2 linked regions of the Sus scrofa genome follow. The protein of the gene in region 1 purifies or fractionates together with the protein of each later gene. This does not show direct contact. Links are inferred from orthologs where the notes say so. Each region holds a gene or a part of one and is shown on either strand. Other genes may lie near its edges. The genes, in order: PRMT8 and EWSR1.

What was found.
Region 2: the proteins of PRMT8 (region 1) and EWSR1 purify together in Homo sapiens (affinity purification with mass spectrometry; 3 studies listed by BioGRID and IntAct, counting the BioPlex papers as one, with this or other methods). This does not show direct contact. The link is inferred for Sus scrofa from reciprocal best matches to the Homo sapiens genes PRMT8 and EWSR1.

What each region holds. Positions count from the first base shown.
Region 1 is NC_010447.5:66,688,088-66,691,900, reverse strand, and holds part of PRMT8 (protein arginine N-methyltransferase 8), read left to right. Parts: intron 1-2,147; coding exon 2,148-2,290; intron 2,291-2,893; coding exon 2,894-2,981; intron 2,982-3,813. UniProt on the Homo sapiens protein: S-adenosyl-L-methionine-dependent and membrane-associated arginine methyltransferase that can both catalyze the formation of omega-N monomethylarginine (MMA) and asymmetrical dimethylarginine (aDMA) in proteins such as NIFK, myelin basic protein, histone H4, H2A and H2A/H2B dimer.
Region 2 is NC_010456.5:46,422,073-46,425,885, reverse strand, and holds part of EWSR1 (RNA-binding protein EWS), read right to left. Parts: intron 2,464-3,813; coding exon 2,296-2,463; intron 1-2,295. UniProt on the Homo sapiens protein: Binds to ssRNA containing the consensus sequence 5'-AGGUAA-3'. Might normally function as a transcriptional repressor. EWS-fusion-proteins (EFPS) may play a role in the tumorigenic process.

The sequences.
Region 1 (3,813 bases):
ATGCATCAGGATAGAGCAGCTAGTGGATGGGGGGGAGGCCAGTGCAGAGGACAGGGGCAGCGTTCACTCGCTCTGCAGGGCACCCAAGGAGTGTTATTCTGTCCGTCCCTCTCTGTCGGACCAGACTATAAGTTCTTGTCTGTCTTCGCTTCCCCCAGGGCTCCTGGAGTCCTGTCTCTGGAATCACAGGGGAGCCTTGTCCTAGGCACGCAGGTGGAGGTCCTGGGGCACTAGAGGCAGGAGAAGACATCATCCTGGGCCTCAGGAAGGTCACCATTAATGCAGGAGGAGGGACTGACCCAGAGCCCCACAGCCACGTGCAGACATCAGGGAAGAGTCTTCAGAAAATGTGCACAGAGAAAGAAAAGGGAGGCTGTTAAAACACTTTCAAGTGTTTATAAAAATAAGACAAACAAGTCTTGCAGGCAAGTGATTAGGCAGGTGGGTCCAGCATCTATTTGCCAGTTCTTTTTCAGGATAAAAAATAAATGAGGTACGCTATTTGCATTTGCCAAAATCCCATACTCTGTCCCCTTGTGAAGATTCCTGGTGCATCCTGGGTCCTTGCTTGAGTTCCTGCTCTTAGGTCTTGGGTCTTGACTCCCCCCTCCCAAGCCTTTTGGTGAAGATTAGCCTTCCGAATCTCCCTTCCCAGGGGTCGGGCTTCACATGTGTGAAGCAGGAGAGTCACGCAAGTTGGGGAGTGATCAGGGCCAAGCGTCTGACTCCTTACAGAGAGGCCTTATCTGATTAAGCTTTGATGAAACGCCACACCCCGGAGAGCAAATCATCGTTAGACACTGACAGGCACGCTGTCCCCAGCACCACCTGCTGTGAAGGTGGGGAGTAAAGCCTGATGCCCTTTGCCACCTAGAGCTCTCCCATCCACGTTGATTTTCATGAAACTCACATTCAAGGACAGAGGTGGCGTTTTGTTTTGTTGTTCACTCCCGAGTACAGACCATTGTTTAGTTGGCCCAGAAAAGCACAGGCATTGTGTGGTTTTCTTCAGAGGATGGTGCAGAGTGAGTTTCAGAGCAGGGACACGTGTAAGCTTTCACAGGAAACATTCTGATAGAACCAGCCACCAATCCATCACCCTGTCAGTTGCATAGCAGCACCTAAGATAGCTTTGCTCTGATCTTTATAGACGTGGATGCAAAACAAGGCTCCGAAATTAAGTGTACATCCTTGTCAAATGATCAAAAGCTCAATGAAGTTTCTCCTGCCACAGAGGGATGGGACAGTCCTGGAAGGGACACAGAGGCAGAGGCCGCTTAGAACAGGGGCTCTGTCCTGATCCTACCCGCTTTACCTCTTTGTTGGTCACCAAGGAGACAGTGTCAGATAACGCATGCCTTCTGCAGAGCCCCAACCGTGAGCCCCCGTGTCACCTGTGCTATTTCATTTAATCAGTACAGCCTCCCACTGAGTAGATGTCACTTTCCTTGGGTGTTCTCTGGGGAACTGGAGTTTGGTTGGGTCAAGCGACTTGCGGATAGTCACACAGCCAACAATGAGACGATCCAGCTCACTTAAGCCCACGTTTCTTGAGCGCACAGCCCATGCTTTTCTGCCAAAACACGGAGTTGCCTTCCCCACCAGCCCTAGGTGGACACCTCCTGGGGCCAAGCAGGGGCTGTGAACAGGGCAGCAGAGGCGGCCTCTCTTCCTTCTGTGGGTCTGAATCATCACTGGTAGCCTGACGTGGGGGTGAGGACCCAGAAACGAGTGTGAGAATCGTCGCTTATCATACCTGGGCTCTGTTTCCACAGCCACCGTTTCTCCTCTCCAAGCTTCAGTTTCCATACAGGTTCTAGGTGAGAATAAACCCAGTGTGTTTCCTTCAAGGACTTGTTGGGATGATTACATGACATGGTGCCTGTCATGGGCTTAGCACAGTCCCAGGCACATAGGAGCTGCTCAATGCATTCTGCAGAGGAAGCACTCAAGGAGTTTTCACTTCTCTTAGTCTAAAGGAGCTTGGTGAGGGGACAGGTGTGCTGCCACCTAGAAGGAGGATCAGAACAGCACAGCGCTGGCACCTGTAGATCAGCATGTTCTGATGTGGTGGTGGTGGTGGTGGGGGCTCATGGTTCCCGGCCAGGGTCCCTGCACAGTGTGGCTGTGGGGTTCTTATTTTCCAGTCATCACAATCTTTAAGGGGAAGGTGGAAGAGGTGGAGCTGCCCGTGGAGAAGGTGGACATTATTATCAGCGAGTGGATGGGCTACTGTCTGTTCTACGAGTCAATGCTCAACACAGTGATCTTCGCCAGGGACAAATGGCTGGTGAGCATGCTGCATGCTGTCCCCTCGTTGGTCTGCTGGCTGCCTTGCTGCTCACCCCCTGGCCTGCAGCCTAGAACGACTATGAGGACTTCAGAGAGGACCTAGGCTAGAAGGTCTTAGCTCCCAGGCCCCCTTCTTTAAACCAGGTCAGCATCCCGGGACAGAATGATCGTCCCCCGGTCCACATGTCCCCCTTGGCCTCTTTTGCCATAATGCTCTGGTGTCCAAAGTCTGCTCTGGTCAACATGGACTAAGGACTTGCCTGGCTGCCAAAGAGGGCAGCGTGCTCTTGACCTTGGCTTCCCCAAGCCCCAAAGTCAGAACGTCTTCCACCGCCCCTCACTGGACAGACCTCTGCCCTCTTCATTTGTTCTGCTGCCCCCCATCCCCCACCCCTAGGTCTCTTGAAGGTTCCCTGGTACCAAAATAAAAACCAAGCAGCCCAGCCCAGCCCAACCCCAGCCCTGGCCAAGGCGGCAGTCTGTGGAATGAGAAATGCTGGCAAGGGGGTGCCTGTCTGGTGACTCGATGTGCCGTTCAAAATGTGATGTCTTTGTCAGGTGAATAGATTACGAGACCCATTTCCCCACAATTCATCAACAGAAACCTGGAGGGCTTATGTTTCCAGACCGGGCAGCTTTGTACGTGGTAGCAATCGAAGACAGACAGTACAAGGACTTCAAAATCCACTGTAAGTCACCTTTTGATTGTTGGGCTTTCTCTGTGTGTGTGTGTGTGTGTGTGTGTGTGTGTGTGTGTGTGTATTTGTGGTGGGAAGGACCTATGGGCCCGGGGTTGGCAACGGGTCTTGTGGACACAGCTGCTGGACTGGGCCTCTGTGACCCTTTCTGGCTTCTTCTCTCTAGATGTTTCCCCTGGTCCCAAGGGGTGGGGGGGTGCTTCAGAGAAGAAATGAGCAGTGCCTTTGGTGGAAGATGAAGCAGGGAGAGAATGAAGGTCGTGTGAGTGGCAAATGAAGGGGGCTGAGGTTTCGCAGAGCCGGCCCAGTGGCTGGACGCTGCTGGCGGTTAGTCATCCCCAAAGTCCATCTGGGAGCAGGGATCACTGTTCTCCTGCTAAGCTATTCCTGTTGAGCCTGGCTTTCATCCCCCTCAAACTTTTCAACATCATATCGATTCTCCTTCCAATCAAGTAAAATATGGGGCAAGATGTGCGTGTTGGGAGCTGGCAGAGGACACACCCACATCTGTATTCATAATGGCTTATCAGCTGAAAACTTGCTCCCTTGAAAAAAAAAAAAAGACCCCAAACTCTTCAGTGTTTTATCTGGTCCCCAAACGGCTGTTTTGTCCTATTGCATTTCAAGGGCACCAGTTCTCAGTGACACAAGCTGGTCCTCCAGGATAGTAAACCAATTATGTTGTCACAAGGTTTAGAAAGAGTCATGTCTCCTCAACTGGAACTAAAAGGACAGGAGTTCCTGTCGTGGCTCAGAGGTAACGAACCTGACTAGTATCCATGAGGTTATAGGTTCCATCCCTGGCCCCACTCAGTGGGTTAAG
Region 2 (3,813 bases), on another chromosome or scaffold:
TCACAACGTGGGTTGGATCCCGAGGTGCTGTGGCTCTGGTGCGTAGGCGGCGTCTACAGCTCCAATTAGACCCCTAGCCTGGGAACCTCCATATGCCACGAGTGCAGCCCTAGAAAAGGCAAAAAGAAAAAAAAAAAAAAAAAAAAAAAAAACCAAGAAAAGATGGGCCAGAGGACATTAGAATCATGGCAACTGTATGAAAGATGAATGTTAGACTGAGATTCATCATTACATATACCAACTACATGGCAGAGACACTAACCAAAAGTAAATTCTTACACAGAAATAAAGCTTAAGAGAACTAGTATTAAACTCTAGATGAATCATGGTAATAAAAAACAAGAAAGGAGGAGTTCCCGTCGTGGCGCAGTGGTTAATGAATCTGACTAGGAACCATGAGCTTGCGGGTTCGGTCCCTGCCTTGCTCAGTGGGTTAACGATCCGGCGTTGCCGTGAGCTGTGGTGTAGGTTGCAGACGCGGCTCGGATCCTGCATTGCTGTGGCTCTGGCGTAGGCCGGTGGCTACAGCTCCGATTCGACCTCTAGCCTGGGAACCTCCATATGCCGCAGGAGCGGCCCAAGAAACAGCAACAACAACAACAAAAAAAAGACAAAAAGACAAAAAAAAAAAAAAAAAAAACAACAACAACAAAAAAACAAAACAAGAAAGGAGAGCTCCTGTTGTGGCACAGTGAAAACAAACCTGATTAATATCCATGAGCTCTTGGGTATCTTGATCCCTGGCCTTGCTCAGTGGGTTAAGGATCTGGTGTTGCCGTGAGCTGTGGTGTAGGCTGCAGACGTGGCTCATATCCCGAGTTGCTGTGGCTATGGCGTAAGCCGGCAGCTGGAGCTCCTATTCGACCACTAGCCTGGGAACTTCCATACACAGCAGGTGTGGTCCTAAAAAGCAAAAACAAAAAACCCCCGACCCAGACAAAAAGACAACATATTTTACAATTCTAAGAACATTTAAACCAAGACTCGATCACTACCTCCCTCACCACAGCTGTAAGTATTCAAAAGCCTCTCTTCACACCAAGTGCACCAAGTGGCCAGATGAAATGCTCTCAGGCTTACAGGTGTGGGTGGGTCCTGGGGAGAACTGCTCAAGCCCTGCCCATTGCTGCTCCAAGCATACAGACACACTTACCCAGTCAGCTGTATTTGCTCCTAAACCTGTTCATGTCTGCTGCACTTTAATGCATAAACCAATGAAATGAGTACAAAAAAGGGAACTGTTAATTTTACCAAAGCTAAGTTGACACAATTCAGACAATTTACTTGAAAATCTGCATCAAATTAAATGTAAAACAACTTTATACAGAAACCAAAACTGGGAGTTCCCGTCATGGCTCAGTGGTTAACAAATCTGACTAGCATCCATAAGGACGCAGGTTTGATCCTTGGCCTTGCTCAGTGGGTTAAGGATCTGGTGTTGCTGTGAGCTGTGGTGTAGGTTGCAGATGTGGCTCAGATCCTGTGTTGTTGTGGCTGTGGTGTAGGCCAGCAGCTACAGCTCTGACTTGACTCCTAGCCTGGGAACCTCCATACGCCGGGAGTACGGCCCTAAATGGCAAAAAACCAAAAATCCTCCACCACAACCCCCCCAAAAAACCCAAACAAACCAAAATTGGTTTTTGTTGTAGCTGCTGGTGTGGTTAATAAAGACAAAAATGCAGAACAAGGAAACCCTTAGTCAAAAGAAAAGGCCTAGGGAGTTCCCTGGCAGCTTAGTGAATTAAGGACCTGGCATTGCCACCACTGTGGTGTCAGTTCAATCCCTGGCCCAGGAACTTCTGCATGCCATGGGTGTAGCCAAAAGAAGAAAAAAAAAAAAAAAAAAAAAAAGAAAAGCCTTGGCCTAACCATTAAAAGACTGGTGCATGAATGAACCTCTGAGTTAAATTCAATATAAAATTATTAAGGTGAAGTTTCTTTTTCTAAAATAATGTCCTGCACTTTACCCAACTGTATTCGAGAAGGTGGCTTCCATGGTTCTGTTTACCTGCTTTCAAGTACTTGTCTCTCATCTGAATAAACTAAAAGAACAAAATTAAAAGAACGAACCTAAAGTGGTAAAAATGTTTTTGTATTCAGAGAGCAAAGTTTTTGGCTGTCAGAACCTAGGACTAAGATTTTAATCCACAATACATGGTCTGGTTTATCACTGGGAGAGTCAGATAATATATCTCACCTGAGGAAGCAGAAGCAGGCAGGTCAACAGCTTGAAAAAAATCTGTTTTTTTATTCTACTAGCTCATTGGCCACAAGAAGAAGAGTGAGAAGACTGACCTGGTAGGAGGGTAAGATGGTGGTGCTGTGACTGGCTGCATGGGGTAGCTCCCAGGAACTTGGGGATAACTGTAGTTACTCTGTCCATATCCTAGGCTGGGCTGGTTGTAACCCCCTGTGCTAGATTGAGGTTGACTAGTCTCAGCGGGTTTGTTACCATCCTGTGGTCTAAAAGGGGAAATAAAAAAGTGAAGACTTTTTTCTCAACCACAAAACTCTTGGATAAGAACACTACAATCTATGAGCAATAAGGAATGTTAGAATTGAGTCTGGAAAATAAATACAATTTAAAATAAATACATCAAACCCACTGTTGGTCCAACTGTTTCCGCTGGAAGAGAACGCTAAAGATGGGGGAGAATTAATCACATCCACAGAAAAGACATTAACACGCTCCATTTATTCCATTATCAATAACTATAGAAAGTAGTTACAGTATTATGTGCTGTCAATTTAAGAGATCTGGGAGAGGAGGAGGTTTGTTCAGGAAGAAAATGCCTTTTCTCAAAAAAAGACTGTCAGGGACAAACAAACTTACGACGAACAAAACAAAAAACTTAATGCAAACTTTAGGCTAGAATAACATTTGTTTAAGTCCATGGCATGTACAAGCTTGGATGATCTGTGGGTCAGTTTCTCATTTATGAAGAACAGACCAAAAAAAAAAAAAAAAAAAAAAAAAACCATTTCCTAACTTGAACTTCTATACATTAATCTAAATTTGCCTTGAGGTCTCCATAATGGAAATAGCAGGGACACACACACAGAGAGGCAGACAGACTAACACACACTCTCCTCTCATGCTCAGATGAACTGAAAGACATCCTAGTTAAGTGACAAAAATCAACTTTAATCCCAAGGAGAAAACCAAGGTTTCTGTTACCCCCTAGCCCTAACAGTTTGTAACAGGGTTGTAGCAAGTGAACTTGAGCTATTTTAAACAAAGTCCAAGAGTCAGCAAGTAGACCAGAGAGGATGTGGAAGTACTGGTTTTTCCAAAGAGCTGAAATGGTCACAAGCCCCCTCTTTCCAGTGGAAGAGTAGCTGTCACTGATCATGAGACAGACAATTGTTTTAAAGTGTTAAGGATTGAAAAATTAAGCAAAAGGAACCAAAAGGGATGATTTATTCAGACCAATTAATATATTACCCACCCCCACCCCAGCTATGGCTTGGATTTACTGTTGCAATGGAGTATCAAATGGGACTTCAACCATAGGAGAACATGCTAGGTCCACCGAATTGGGGCCGTACAGGAATCAGTGTAACACTCACCATTGCATAGGATGTCTAGCAGATGTAAACTACTAAATTCACTCTGATTACCCACAGTGCATTTCAGAAGTAATCTCATGAGTGTCTGCCAGAGCTAATTTCTTACCTCTACAGTAGACAAAATCTAGGTTACAAGTTGATCTCTTGTAACCAGATTCAATGTTTCTTTGAAGACTATACGGAGAAGACATCTAAGTGCACTGCTTAAATATGTAAAATCTTCTGTTAAGGAATAATTAATAC